Linked DNA regions of Pelodiscus sinensis. The protein of the gene in region 2 interacts with the protein of the main gene of each other region in a biochemical or structural test. Links are inferred from orthologs where the notes say so. Each region holds a gene or a part of one and is shown on either strand. Other genes may lie near its edges.

Region 1 (7,744 bases), on a different chromosome or scaffold from region 2:
GCTGCGTGTAGTCACGGGCAGCCGTGGGCAGGGAGTGCGAACTAGCGGCGCATGGGAACATGCAAATTAAGCCCGGGATATTTTAATCCCAGGCTTCATTTGCAAGTTCAAATGACTACATTAGCCACCCTTGTTCGAACTAGGACCTAACCCTAAGTTATTGATAATGCATTGGAGGGGTTTAAGTTGGGGGCTAAAGGTGGTGTTCTGTTGTTGGTTTTCTTGGGCATATCTTGAAGTAGATGGTTTCTGGGTATTCGTCTGGTTCTTCCGCTTTGTTTTTTTATTTCCCCCGGTGGGTAATTGAGATTTACCAATGCTCGGTAGAGATCTTGAAGTTTCTGATCTCTGTCAGTGGGATTAGAGCAGATGCGATTGTACCTAAGGGCCTGACTATAGACCAGTTTCAAGTTAATATCCAAGTTTTCATACCCCCTACTCATAACTCCAGTATCTGAAGAAGTGGGCTGTGCCCATGAAAGCTCATGATACCATCTACATGTTTTGTTACTCTATAAAGTGCTACGAGACCATTGGTTGTTGTTTTTTTTTTTTAAACACATTATAAAGACAGCTTCCCCACTTATCACCCCTGATTAGCCATTCATTGACTTATAAACAGCTATTCCCTTCTTCCCTTCCTCCCTCTCTCCCCACCTTCTGTTCTAAATCTGATTTGTCAGTTTAATAATGTGTTCACTTTTTTCACAGTATTCCTTTGGTATATATGGTCATGCCAATTCTCTTTCAGAATATGATTTGAGGAAGTGGGTCTGGCCCATGAAAACTCAACGTCTATTAAACCATCTTGTTAGTCTTTATAGTAGTACATAGTTTTTCCTTTTGTCTTAAAAAAATGGAGATTAATGACCAGATATTGCACATAAGCTCAATGGGAGTAATATGCAAATACTGAAAAAAATATATAAAAAGTTTAAAAAAAAGACAATCTTTCTAAAAGTGTACCAAAGGAGTAAAAATAAAGTTTTCCGCTACCAATTTAGGAGAAAGACTGGATGGCTAAGTATGATTCAAGGTAGTTGCTAACTGTTAGCCATCCAATCTTTCTCCTAAATTGGTAGCGGAAAACTTTATTTTTAGTCTTTTTTTTTTTTTTTAGTTTTTTATTTTTGTCTTTTTGGTCTTTTCCCTCCACACACACTGCGGGATTGCTAGCTCCCCTTCTCTCCCCCACACACAAACTCTCTGGGGATACTGCCTTTCCCCCAGCTCTGGGGCTGTTGCCCTCCTGGTTCTGGTGCTACTACCCTCCCTCCAACTCTGGGGCTGCTGCCCTCCCTCCAACTCTGGGGCTGCTGCCAGGGGACCGGGAGCCAGAACTGGCAGGGGTGGCCTGCTGCTTCGGCTACAGCGGGAGCCAGGCAGCAGATCACTTCTACAGGAGCTGGTGGGGACGGTCGGCCTGTGTGCAGGAAAGGCAAGTTGAAAATCCCATGATAGACAGACAAGAACGGTGACAGCTTAATAGAAAAATTGTCTAATAAGAATTGGTCCCTCACTTTCATAAACAGAATAAAACAAAGCGTATGTAACTGCATTAGTTAACATCTACATTTTCCAAATTAGTCTCTAATTCTGGGTGCCAAACTCCAGAAGCCATAAGCCTGATTTCTAGGGCTGCTAAAATATTAGCTAGTGGTACCCAGCATATATATAGTACTTTTTAGCTGAACATCTCAAAGTACTTTCCAAAGATAGCAAATATTCCCATTTTATATATGTGGAATCTAAGAGATAGATGGATAAAGTGATTTGCTAAGGTTATGTGGCAAGTTAGTGACAGATTGAAGTATATAATCCAAGTGTCCTGACAGTGACTACCATAACTAGACCATATTGCCTCTGAGGCAGAATCTAAAATTGGGATTGGAAGATAAGACAATCCACAATGGACTATAAACGTTATGGTAGCATGCATTTTTTTACATAGACATCCATGTATTTTTGAGAATATCCTTCCACAGCACTTGTTGACTTGCAGTTTTAGAACCTTACAATGTTCCTCAACCAAATTTCAGTGAGGCTACTGTAGGGACCTCTATCAGTTCACAAAGCCTGAACTTTAAATATTAAGAATAAATCTGATACTTCAGGCTACATATTTACCCTTCATTTGTGGAATATACTTTGAATTCTACCTAAGATAGAAAATTATCTGAAAACTCATAAAATTTATTTGTGACTATTTTATACAACACACTTTACCTAAACAAATACACATACATTTATTAATACACTCAGGACCAAACTGAATTACTTCCCTAAATGTTAAATGAATGGCTCTCTTGTGTACCAGTTAATACAATGCAATGAGGCTGTTAGGGTGAATCAACTTTAGAACTCTTCTAGGACTAGCACTATGAAATATTATCTTTCCAATACACTAGTGCTTGCACTTTCCCAGATTATATATTTTACAGCACCATTAATTTACATAGTACTTTACCAAACTTCAATAAACCATGCCACTTGTTTCAAAGACCTCAATCTAAAATAGATTAAAAAAATATAGGATACCAGGTCAGGAAAAAGTGAGTGGTGATCATTACAAAGTGGGACAGGATTGCTTTAAAAGATAGGTTTTAAAGGGTGAATTTGAAAGAAGAGATGCCAGAGGACAACAGAGATATATTCAACTATAGTAAGACAGCATGGCAGATAACTAAACAGGTGAGGAAGGGAGTAACAGCAGTATGACAGTAGGGATATGTAAGGAATAATGTACTCCAATTATATCTAATATTATGGCAGCTCCTAGAAGCCAATCAACAGAACGACCCAGAATAAGACACAATCCCTGTGATGACGAATTTGTAATGTAAACAGACGAGACAAAAGATTGAGAAAAAAGAGATATAGCTTACAAGCAGCATGAGTAACATAATGATTGTCAAACATCATGTAAATTTCATTACTGTTTTGGTTTGATTTAAATACAAATCACAGGGGTTGATAAATAAGGATTACCTAAATAGAAAGCAAGGGAAGAGAGACACTAAAGGAAAAGAAGGGAAGGGATCAGAGAAGGAAGCATGGAAAATAGTTTATTTGAGGCCAATAAATTTTGAGGAATACCATAAAACATGTAAGTCAATGGCTAGTCACTAACTCCACAATATCTCTAAAATGGAATTATGAAGTCAATATACATTTTCAGTGTGGAGTACTTAAGCTAAGTCCTATATACAAAAATCCATCACTCATTTGATAGTGACTAACGAAACAGTTGTTTTCAAATCACATTATCTTCTACATTCTCAGACTACATCTTAAGTTGCAAGTGTTTTTTTTTATTACAGCTGACATGCAGCTGGATGGTATATTATGACTCACATAATACAATTAGCCAAAAAGCATGTGTTTCTCACAATCATGATTAAAGGAAAGTCCTGTTAAAACACTATGTTTGTTTTACTTTCAACTTCATTAAAGTAGATCATATTAAAATACTATTGCATGGAAAGCTTCTCTCTTTAATTGCGGTCTTCACAAACAGAAAACAATGGTGGTTGCAACTCTGATGTATGAAATATGGGGCATGAGGATTCTCTAATTTCACTGAAAGGCTTTTGTTTGCGTCAAGGAAGATCCACACTTAAATCATGAGGTATAAACTAAACTCTGGCTCTCTTAACTTTGTATGCGGGTGGAGAGTTGGGGGTTTTTAGCTTATAGGCTTGCCTTTAAAAACTGTTACATTTCCGGTCTCTGCGTGGGAATAAATATTTCCAAGGTAAATCACAGTTTGACCTTCCTGTCTGTGCAAACACTTTCCACCAATTGTGAGGTGTGAACCATCTGCTGTCCTGATGGTCTGCAGTGTCGTTATAGATGGGCTGATTCCTAGATAGGAAACACAAGGTGGGTGACGTCATTTCTATTATTGAACCAACTCCTGTGGGTGAAAAAGACCACCTTCAAGTTCAAAGTTTAGACAGACCTGTTTTTTCCAGGTCTGGGAAACCAGCTTGGAAGCTGGTCTCGTTCACCCACAGAACATTGGTCCAACAAACTGTATTACCTCTCCCACCGTCTGCCTCCGGATTAGAATTTAGAATGTCACTTTTTCACGGCTGGTCCTTACAGAAGAAAAAAACCAACCACCCAGCCAATATCCTTGCTGAGCAGCGCCATAATTATCAGCACACAGTGGGGGAAATTGCCTCACTCCCCCCCCCCAGTGGTTTTCATCCTCCAGCCCCAAAACGTGCAGGCCACATCGGGATGCGAAAGAGCAGAGCCAACCCCCGCCCCCAAAGGCTGCGCCTCAGCTCCCCCCGCAGCGCCGCCTCCTGCTTCCCACACCTCCCCTCCCCCTTCCCCTTCCTCGCACCCTCGGCCCAGCCTCCTCACCCCCTCCCGCCAACGCCTCCGGGCTTCCACAGCCCGGCCGCCAGCGCAACCCCCTCCTCCCGGCCCAGCCGCCCTCACCGAGCCGCCTCAGGTCCCACGCTCAGCCATCGCCGCCCACCCAGGGCTGCTAGGCAACCGCCTCGCTTTACCCGCCCTCCGGAGACGGGGCGCGGGAGGGCCCACTTCTCCCAGGACAAATTCGAGCGCAAGCAGCCCTTACCGTTAGCTGTCGCAAGGGCCCCCCCTCTTCCCACCCCGCTTTACGGCACTGGGCGGGGAGATAAACGGAGTCACCCAACCCGGCGCGGCGGTGGTTTACGGCTCGGGGCGGAGCTATGGCGGCGGCAGCGGATTGGCTGCGGTGGGGGTCAGTCCCTGCCCAGTGACCCCGGAGTGAGGAGGGGGGCGGCTCAGTCAGTGTAAAGTGTCCCCACAACGCCCCCGGCTGGGTCTGCGGCTCCCCCCACTCCTGAGCCAGTGCCAGTGGGGGGAGCGGCCGCGGAGCGACCGCCGGTCCCGCCCCCCTCAGGAGGAGACAGGTAACGGCTGAAGCCCGCTCTGTCCCGAGACCCCGTCAGGGGGGCGCCTGCCGCGGGAGCGCTCCACCCCCGCCCCGAGTCTGCGCCCCCTTCCCATGGGACTCTGCGGTGTGTGGGGGAGGGGGATAGTCTGCAGCCCCGTGCTCCTCTGAGACTGGGGGGGGCACTAGCCCATCCCCCCCGGACAGGGTCTGGGGAGGAGTATTCCCGCTGTGGGGCTGAGGGCCACCCCCCGCTTTGGCCCATGGTTCCCTTGAGACGGTCTTTAGGGGGGGAGGTTATCTCCCCCCACCCGGCCCAAAGTCCCCGAGGCTCTTCCCATCGCCCTCATCTCGCTGACTCTTTCGAGGGGGACGTGCTCTTCGCTCGTCACTATCCCCTGCCCCCGTCATGCTCCCAAGACTGTTATGGAGCAGAGCAAATCTGCCCTATGCCCCTCTCTTAATCCCCCGCCCCCGTCACTGCACTACAGGGGGTTCACGCTTCTCTTTTCCGCTGGTCTCTTTTCAATGCCTCGAAATTCCCTGTTTTGTGCGCTGCTCCCTTCCCCACCTTTCAACCTCTTCCCCACTACTGGGGTTCTCTCAGCAAATTTTTGGAGGCCTCATAGTGTGGCCACTAACTTTTGTGGTGGCCACTATGAAAATTTTCCTTAAAATATTTAACTTCAGTGAAAATAAATAAAAGGTGGAAGATTTATGTGATCCGAAGAGAAACATACACACATACATGTCCAGATCGTTATAATTTATGTAGATTTTTTTTAGACTCAATAATAACATACAGTTGTCCCTATTTTTTACTTGCCCTAAATAAGAATAGAAACAAAAATAAGGGGCTTTGCCTGTTGTTGTCTTTTGTTGTTGTTTTTTTTGCTTTTTTTTTAGTTACAGGTTTTTTTTAAGACTAACTAGCTAGTAAGTTGTCTTTTGTTTAAAAAAAAAGATATTGGTATGTTTGTTAATATCGCTTTTTGCAGCCAATTTATTGGCTAGTTCGGAGGCAGTAAAAAGTTATATTAACTTACAAATATCACTTTCCATCACAGACTTATTCAGCCCTGGTAGGTGAAGGATAAATTAAGCCTTGAATGGAAAGGTGGGTAGGGAGGTAGCAAGGACTGGGGTATTGGTATGTATGTATAGGTGAGCGGCCAGTGACTGCAGTGGGAGCTCAGGGTAATGGGGGAAGGCAGGGGAGAGTGAGCCCAAAACTCAGTAGCTGAAGTCCAAAACCCAACCAGTGTCTGTGCAGCCAAAGTCCAGAAACATGGGTGGAGTCCATGACGAACCTGCTGGCCTGTGGCCACAACCTGTGCCTGCCCCTTCAAGGCTGACACTAGAAGCCTGAGCTCCATCACACCTAGGAAAGGGGGGAAGTCGCACTGCATTTCTGCTCTTCTAGAGTGCATATCTCCAGGGCAGGGCCCAACCCCTCCTTTTGACCCCCTAGAGAGGAGTTGTACCTTCCCACTCCCCATTTTTCCAATCACCAGCTAGGAAGCTATGAGGGTAAGAAAACTTGTGTTGGCCACATTTGAGAAATGATGCTGTAGATTTTGGTTAGGCCGTAAAAGCCCATTTCTTGATCTTAGATGTTTCTCTAGCCATCCACCATTACTAGGCGTATGAATGTTTAACCAGTAGGGGCTGGAGCAGCTCCTGGACCCACTGCAGATTGGCTGCTCTGACTGGCTGTTCAGAACAGCCCCTGTCTGTGGTGGGCCCGGCCCAGGTGGTGCACCACAAACGGGGACTGTTCGGATCAGATGGCCAGTCATAGCAACCCTTGTTTGTGGTGGGTGGGCTGCTCCAGCCCTAAACAGTTAACCAGTTAAACATAATGTTTAACCAGTTAATCAATAAAACCGAATTTTACATTCCTAACCATTATCCTAGGATTCTGTTCTGGACCATCTGTGTTGCGACCTCAAAACCATGCCTGGTAGGTAATCTTCTTCTCCGAGCCCAACCTTTGTTCCTCAGAGGTCCCCAAGACTTTGTTTTTTGGTGAGGACTTGGGGACAGTTACCTTCCTGCTTTTTCTAATTCTCCAGAAACTCTGATTTTTTCTGTTATTTTCTGCCTACCCATTAATGTTCCTTGTTCCTTACTTCAATTACAATGAGACCATACTTTGAGAAGAATCTCTTGCTGGTTTTTTACCCACATTAAAACCCCAAATATTCCATATGGTTCACTCCTTCTTTTCAGTTTCCACTTTGGGGAAATACCCTGTGCTTCCTTTCTCTTCATTCTCCCTACTTCAACCTTGACAGTGTTTTGGATGCTAATTCCCTTTATCCTCCACTTCTCACTCATCTAACAGTACTAACTCCCTCTTTTCAGGCTCAAGCTGACTCAAGGGAGACTTGCAAACTGGGAATGCAAAGGAGAAGATACAGACTGTAAGAAAAATTGAAAGTGGCACTCAGTATAAAGGTGATAATCCACCTTCATTCTTATCTTGTATCCCAAGCCAACCCTGCATGTCCACACAAGCTTGTCTGGATGCTTATGGAACCCGTTCTTATTGGCTTTCTTGACTGATTTTATGTGAGTACCTAGGATTAGATTTCCCTCTTAGGTGTTTTTTTTTGTGGGTTTTTTTGGGGGGTTTTGGTTGTTTTGGTTTTTTTTTTTTAGAAAAAACAATTTGCTCTTTGGCTTAAAAAAGTAACAAAAATTTGCAGTATAGGGAATGAACTTTTTCCCTTTTCTGTGTCTTGTTCTGCACTTTGCGTTCTCATTTGATAAAATAAGCTCCAAACATTTATTTACTTTTTTTGTAGGTTGCAACTTCAAGATCTTTTTGTGGCTTCTCTCTTTAAT
Region 2 (7,753 bases):
CCAATCCACATGTGGGTGAATCAGTGGGAATCTCACATCCAGCGCAGGGGGACCCCGGGTTACAGAGCAGACAGCCCCCCCACTACATCACACCCCCATCATCTCAACACTAAATATTTCCACCTTAAGAACCACAAAAAACAGCTATTCCCCAGCTGTCTGTTCTTTCATGCCCCTTCTTCTTGCTACAAATCTCTCTCTTTACAAATCAGCTTAGCCTTGAGAAGTGAGGGATTCCCTTTCTAAGAAGAGATAAAACATTTATTCCTCCCTTGGGCAAGACGTGCTAGCTTCACTCACACATTAATCCCTTCTCCACCATTTGCTGCATCTTACTACATTGGTTTTCCAGTTCTGCTCTGGCTTCTGGCTGGTTGCTAATGGACAGGCTGCATAAGATGCCCCTGATTGGAGGTCTCCACAACAAAAAGCCCGGAGTTGTGTTCAGAGTGGATAATTGGGAACTGACCCCATTGAGTGTCTGCAAACAATCCTTTAAATAAGGAAATAAAATAGACCTTCTTGAGTTTTTTTAAACTGTCAAAAAAGTCACTGATCTAGTTAAAAACCACCACTATCACCACCCTTTATTTAAAATAAAGTCTTCCTGCTTTTGTGGCTGATTCCAAGTTAGACCCTAGGAAGGTCACATCACGACTCAGTGCCTCAGTTTACCCATATATAAAAACAGGAAAATATAAAGGAGCATAAACTGAACAAGTTTCTTTATTGCTTGTATTGTGGGGGAGGGGGACGGGGGGGTGTTACAGGCAAACACACTGAATGCAAGGGCACTTCGTTGAGAGCAATGTGCATGACTCCTAAAACTGGCTATTCATTGCACTGCGCCATGCTTTGCTCTCCTTATTACCCTGGTGTCTGGCCACTCAAAATCTCTGGCTAGGCACTCTGCCTCAGCCCCCTACTAGGGATGTTAAATATCAGTTAATTGAATAGTCGAGTAACCTCATGAATCCTTATCAGTTAGTCGACTATTACATAGCTCCTGTCTCACTCCAAAGGAGTCCCCTGCCACACAGTGCTACTGCCTCTGTATCAGAGGCAGCAATGCAGGGTGCCAGGGATGAGCTGGTCCGTGAGGGGAGCCAGTTTAAAAACAAGCTCCCCTTGCGGATGAGCTGCCTGTCGCCCTGTGCTGCTGCCCAGATCCATCGCAAGCCAGAACTGAGCTGGGCTGCTGACCTGCCTGCTAAAAAAAAAAATTTACTGGCAAGGGGTGGGAGGAGAATGCGTGTAGTCTACAGCATTAACCTGTACATTCTTGCTTATCGGTTAATAGACTACACTACTACAGCCCTACCCTGACAGATTACTTTCTCCCTTGCTCTAAAAATATTATGAAGCACACAGCAGGCTGCCACCATAAAGGGAATGTTGCATTTGTCAGGGTTTAACCTAATCAGTAGATTAGTAACCCTTCCCTTTAAATGCCCGAAAGCACATTCAACCACTATTCTACACTTGCTCAGCCTGTAGTTAAACTGCTCCTTACTGAGGTCCAGGCTGCCCATATATGGTTTCATAAGCCATGGAAGCAAGACGTAGGCTGGGTCATCAAGCATCAATATTGCCATTTCCACCTCTCTGATTCTAGTTTTCCAGTCTGGGAAAAAAGTTCCAACTTGCAGCTTTGTGAATAGGCAGGAGTGTCTCAAGATCCACGTGTCATGCACAATTCCCAACCACCCCACATTGATGTCAGTGAAATGGCCCTTGTGATACGCCATCGCCTACAGCACCTTGCTGTTTATTTACTCCTTGACAACATGGTTGGGGGCCAAGATGGGGATGCACATTCCCTCTATCACCCCACTGCAGTTAGGGATCTGCACTGCAGCAAAGCCATCCACGTTTCCAGAGTCACTACCCTCTGTAGCAGAAGGGCATTGTTTGCCTTAGCTACTTGAATAACAGCAGCCCCCATTGCAGGTTTCTCCACTCCAGACCGATTCCCAACGGACTGGTAGCTGTCTGGCGTTGCAAGCCTCCACAGGGCAATTATTACGCCCTTCTCCGCTGTCAGAGTGGGGGTCAATTCTGGTGTTCCTGTGCTTGAGTGCAGGGACATTGAAACCTCCCCTTCGGCCGCCCCCGTGGAAATTAAAAGTCCCTCCACACCTTTGGAAAAACAGGGGCCAAGTCTGTGCATCCCCAGCTAGTTCCAGCGTCCAAGGCTCGGGCCCAACCTCCCAGCTGAGCTGGAGGAAAACAGGGGAAGGGGAACAATAACCCCTCCCTCCACTTTGCCACAGGCAACATCACACAAAACTACGGGTCAATGGGGAGAGCTAGACTCTGGGTCCATTGCAGGGTATTAACCGGGGTGCATTGGTGGGTCATCCCTATGCACCCCAGCCCCCCCTACCTCACCTCCCCCCAACCCTGCCACCCCACCTCACCTCCCCCCCAACCACCCCCCAGCCCCCCCACCTCACCTCCCCCCAACCCCCCCAGCCCAGCCCAGCCCAACTACCCCCCAGCCCCGCCCCCCCAGCCCACCTCCCCCCAAACCCCCCAGCCCAGCCCAACTACCCCCCAGCACCGCCCCCCCACCCCACCTCCGCCCAGCCCCCCCAGCCCAGCCCCCCACCTCCTCCCAACCCCCCCAGCCCAGCCCCCCCTCCCAATCATCCCCCAGCCCAGCCACCTCCTCCCAACCACCCTCCAGCCCAGCCCCCCCTCCCAGCCACCCTCCAGTCCCCAGCCCAGCCCAACTACCCCCGAGCCCCGCCCCCCCAGCCCACCTCCTCCCAACCCCCCAGCCCAGCCCCCCACCCCACCTCCTCCCAACCCCCCCAGCCCAGCCCCCCACCCCACCTCCTCCCAACCCCTCCCCCATTCCAAGTCTCCTGTGTCCAAGCCCATGGCCCCACTACAATGCATTAGCCCCCGCCCCACCCCCACCCGCGCCCGCCACTCACCCTCCGTCCTTCCCGAGGCGCCGCTTCCTCGCAGCAAACACAGCCGCGTGGAAGGGGCGTGGCTAAATTCGAATTCTCCCTCCTGTACGTCACAATAACACCGTTGCCGCCCAGCGCGCTGATTGGTGCCTCTCCCCCCCCCCCCGGGGGCTGTTTCAGAGCCGAGCGTTCATTGGCCGCCAGGGGGCCCCGCCCTATTCCACGAGAGGAGGGGGGCGGTTGGCTGAGCTAACGGAAGTACGTCACGCGGCGCTCTGAGCGGAGTGTTCCGGTGCGCGAGGAGCATGGCTGCGGTGCCTCCCGACTCCTGGCAGCCCCCCGCCGTCTCCATGGAGACCACGTAAGGAGCCGCGGGGCGGGGGTCGCGCCGGGGGCGGGGGCCTGGTCTGGGGGCGGGGCGCGCGGCGCGGGGCGGCGCCCTGACCCTGTGGCCCCCCCGCAGCATGGGCACCATCGTCCTGGAGCTCTACTGGAAACACGCGCCCAAGACCTGCAAGAACTTCGCCGAGCTGGCCCGGCGCGGCTACTACAACGGCACCAAGTTCCACCGCATCATCAAGGACTTCATGGTGCAGGGGGGCGACCCCACGGGGACAGGTAGGGCGGCCTCGCCCCTCCCCCCCGCGTCGGGAGCGCGCGCGCCTGAGCCACGCGGGCACGTGCCCCGCCCCTCCCCGCTGAAGCGGGGCCCAGCGCGGGGTCCGTGCAATCCAGGGTCCACTCTCTTGCCCCGCCTCCTTCCGGCCCCTTCTCCACGGGCCCCCTGCTCACCCCCCCCCTCTCACTTTTCTCCGGCTGGAGGGAGAGGGTTGGGGCGCGGGGGAAGGGGATGTGGACTCGGATCTCGGGCTGAAGGGTTCGGAGTGTGGCAGGGCTTCTGAGCTGAGGTTGAGGTGCAGGATGGTTGCAGGGTGCAGGCTCTGGGAGGGAGTTTGGGTGCAGGGGGACTCAGGGTTAGGGCAGGGGTTTGAGGTTCGGGGGGGGGGGCGGGGTTTGGAATGCAGGCTCCAGCTGGGAGCTGTTTACCACAGGTGGCTTCTGGGTGGTGATGGAAGGGGGCTAAGGCAGGTTCACCCCTCCCCTGGCCTTGCATCACTCCCAAAAGCAGCCAGTAAACTCTCCATCCCTGCCCCCACTCTGCTCCGTGGAGAAGGGGTACAGGGTGGAAGGAGGTGCATCCTGACATCAGCACCTCCTCCTCTTCTTCTTGTGCCCTGCACAGCACGCAAGAGGCTACTGGGACTGGGGGCAGCTCCAAGGCAAAGGCAGGAGCAGCACAGCAGTGCTGAGAGGGACAGATGAAGTGCCAGCATTTGACAGCCTCCCGATCAAACCTGTCAGGATCACCTGTCAGAAGGCTCCAAGATCTACCAGTAGATCGTGATCTGCTGGTTGATGACCACTGGCCTAGTGTTTAGGATGCAAAAACGGGATTTGGAGAAAACCACGTTCAACTAACTCTCTGCTCCTATTAAGATTACTTGTGTGACCTCAACCACATCATGGTACATCTATACTTTAGTCTGCATGTAGAGCTGCGGTCACCAACCCGTTGATCGCGATCAACTGATCAATCACGAGGCCTCAACCAGTCGATCGCAAGGCATTCCGGATCCTCCATTTCCCTCCACCCCCAAGAAGCCCCACTACCTACCTCCAGCGACAATGGAGGTAGTGGCAGCTTCCCGTGGGGTGGACAGAAGTCCTGCAGCTGTGCGTCACTCCCAGGGGCCAAATGTCTAGACAGGCCAAATGTTGGAAAAACCTCTTCCTACAGAAGAATTGGCAGTAAAAAAGCAGCAGTATAAGGGTTGGGGATAGCAAGTGATGGAGCAGAGGAGAATAGAGAGGGTAGGGCGGGGCTTCAAGAAAGGGGTTGGGTCCTGGGGGAAGGATGGGGAGGTAGATCTTGGCTTGTTCTGTCATTTAAAAAGTGATCTTGGGTGTAAAAAGGTTGAAGACCGCTGGTGTAGAGTATATACAGGATGCCCAGCTCACCTGGGCATAAGCAGCAGGACAGATGATGAGGCACAACTTAGGTGAGTAGAATAGAGCTGTGTTTCTCAACCAGTGGTACGAGTACCCTTAAGGGTACTCGAGAGAAGTCTGGGGGGGGTACATCAACACAACTGAAATTTAGAGAAAACTGAATTTTTGTTTCAAGTTTTACAGCGCTTTATTATTACACCCAAAACTTTCATTGCCCTAAGTTTTTTAAACAAATGTGTGTCTGGTACTGTGGGTACTTATAATTTTTCATTTTTTAAAGGGGGTACTTTATAAAAAAAGGTCGAGAAACACTCAAATAGAGTGCCTTACCTGCCTAAAACACTGAAGAATGGAGATTCCATCATCTCCCTAGGCAACCTATTCCAGTGCTTTACTACCCTGCTAGTGAAGTAGTATATTGGAATTGGAAAAGGTACAGGGACAGGCAACACAAACTACAGGCAGTCCCCGAGTTACGCGGATCCGACTTATGTCGGATCCGCAGTTACGAACGGGGCCCTCTCCCTGCTCTCCAGCAGACCAGGGAGAGGAAGAAAAGCAGCGGAGCATGCGGGCAGCGGACAGCCCAGACGTGTCTGGGCTGTCCGCTGCCCGCGCGTTCAGCCGCTTTGCTCTGCTTTGCTCCCCGTCCCCCTGGTCTGCAGACCAGAGGGATGGGGAGCAAAGCGGCGGAATGCGCGGGCAGCGGACAGCCCAGACGCTCACAGGGGCAGGGCTCAATAGGATTGTGGATTTGCTTAAAGACAGAGTCGATTAGGGATAGATAGTTGCTTTTATTAATTTTACTACGTCACTACTATTACAGCCTTAATACTGGCAAATACACAACTACTGCAAACTAATCCAAATAATTAGCATAGGCAAAGCAATACATATACATGAGCAACAGGCACTTAGAAATGCTTACGCCCCTTCAGGTCTGCAGGGAGTTCCATTCCGGTCACCTTGCACCAAGCTGGAGTGGATGTGGCTCCAGCTAGGGGACCCAGGGCACCTTCCAAGGGAAAAGGTCTCTGGTGGAACTCACAAAAGGGCGGGCAGGTTTTATACTCTGTTTACTGGGTGTGCACGTCCCTGGCTCAATGCCATTCTTATCATTTTTATGGGCTGAGACCAAGGTCAAACTTATTTACTGCTCAGTAGTTTCCCAGCTCAAGGCACAGGTTAGAGCTGATAAAACCCAGCTGCTGTTTGGGCTTGCAGGGTCCCAGGTTATGCTAAGCTGGGTACAGCAGGGATGGAAACTTCCATCCTAGGCCTGCTAAGCTGCAGGACGCACATATGACTTTCATGTGACAATCCCTACAATGAGAGTGGCCCTGAATGTCTGCCATGGCTTTCTGTATTGACATATCTGCTTTTCTCCAATGGGCAGGCAGAGGGGGCGCATCCATCTATGGGAAGCAGTTTGAAGATGAACTTCATCCAGAACTAAAATTTACAGGTAAGTGCCATTTGATGGACTTGTGTGGGTATTTGTGTTGTGTTAACCGTGCAGGTTGGGCAGAGCACCAGTTCAGGGCTCAGTCTCACAGTCCTTATACAGAAGTCATTGGGAGTATGGGTGGCGTGAGTGCTGCAGGCTTGGTAGTTCTTAATGACAAGTGAAGCATTAAAGGGATTGTGGTCAGGAAGTGAAAAATTAACCGACTAGGGTCCCATGCAGATGAATAAACAATGACATGGTAGCTCTCTTCCTTCAACAAATGGAATTGAGAAGCTGTGACCCTGAAACCTGCAAAATGATGCTGCAACTATCCTGTTTTCAGCTAAGTAGTCTCTTCCTAAAGATAGTTAATCAGTGGTCTAACAGCAGCAGAACAGCTTGTGCTAAATGGCAGATAGAATCATACAGTCCACAACTCAGACCCCTCCAACGCATTATACACAACCTGTAATCCATCTTGGAAAATGATCCCTCATTCTGAGGCCTTTAGGGAAAAGCCTGTTGTCACTTACTGACAACCCCCCAACCTGAAATGAATTCTTTCTGGTCACCATGCTACACAACCACATCATAAACATCCAGGAACCCAGCCCTGCAATCAGCTGAGGTGCCAACTCTGCCCACATAACTATACAAGCGAATTCATTAGTGGAGCCAACAACATAAGCTACCAAATCAGAGGATCATTCAATTGCACATCCAGTAATTTGATCTATTCCAGCAGTGCCCCACTGCCCATATTGGACAAACTGAAGAGTCCCGAAGGGAAAGAATCAATGGACACAAATCAGCTGTACGTAAAGGGAGCGTACAGAAACCTGTTGGAGAGCACCTCAGTCTACCTAATCACTCTTTAAAAGTTCTCCAGGTGGCTGTCTTATCACAATCCAATTCTACAAGTCAAATACACAGAGAGGTGTTGGAATTACAGGCAGTCCCCGAGTTACGCGGATCTGACTTATGTCAGATCCGCACTTACGAACCGTGCTTTTCTCGCCCCGGAGGATGCGGGCGGCGGGACCGTCCAGACACGCCGAGGTCCTCCAGGGCGAGGAAAGCTGCTCCGCGTCTCCCTGGTCTGCTGGGGGGGGGCCAGCAGACCAGGGAGACACAGAGCGAAGCTGCGGAGGACCCGGGCGGCGGGACCGTGGCGCGTCTTGGTCCCGCCGCTCGCGTCTCCATGGTCTGCTGTGGGGGGAGGGGGGGCGGTGCAGCTAGTGCGCCCCTTCCCCCTCCCCCCCCCCCCCCCCCCCCCCCCTCTCTCCAGCAGACCAGGCTTTTCTCAGGACTCCTGGGGCAGAGCAGCTGGGGTGCTGCCAGTTGCTCCCGCAGCGCCGCTCCTTGGCGCTACTGG

Evidence for each region.
Region 1: of the proteins of proline/serine-rich coiled-coil protein 1 (region 2) and ASB7, one has a biochemical effect on the other in vitro, tested with the Homo sapiens proteins (2 studies listed by BioGRID, with this or other methods). The link is inferred for Pelodiscus sinensis from reciprocal best matches to the Homo sapiens genes PSRC1 and ASB7.

What each region holds. Positions count from the first base shown.
Region 1 is NC_134724.1:7,682,592-7,690,335, reverse strand, and holds the start of ASB7 (ankyrin repeat and SOCS box protein 7), read left to right. Parts: upstream 1-4,729; 5' UTR 4,730-4,913; intron 4,914-6,811; exon of another isoform or gene 6,812-6,857; intron 6,858-7,261; 5' UTR 7,262-7,468; intron 7,469-7,744. UniProt on the Homo sapiens protein: Probable substrate-recognition component of a SCF-like ECS (Elongin-Cullin-SOCS-box protein) E3 ubiquitin-protein ligase complex which mediates the ubiquitination and subsequent proteasomal degradation of target proteins.
Region 2 is NC_134737.1:15,885,307-15,893,059, reverse strand, and holds the start of proline/serine-rich coiled-coil protein 1, read right to left. Parts: upstream 3,007-7,753; 5' UTR 2,943-3,006; intron 1-2,942. Other genes in the region: PPIL1 (peptidyl-prolyl cis-trans isomerase-like 1), read left to right, coding at 3,227-3,282, 3,385-3,539, 6,328-6,396. UniProt on the Homo sapiens protein: Required for normal progression through mitosis. Required for normal congress of chromosomes at the metaphase plate, and for normal rate of chromosomal segregation during anaphase. Plays a role in the regulation of mitotic spindle dynamics.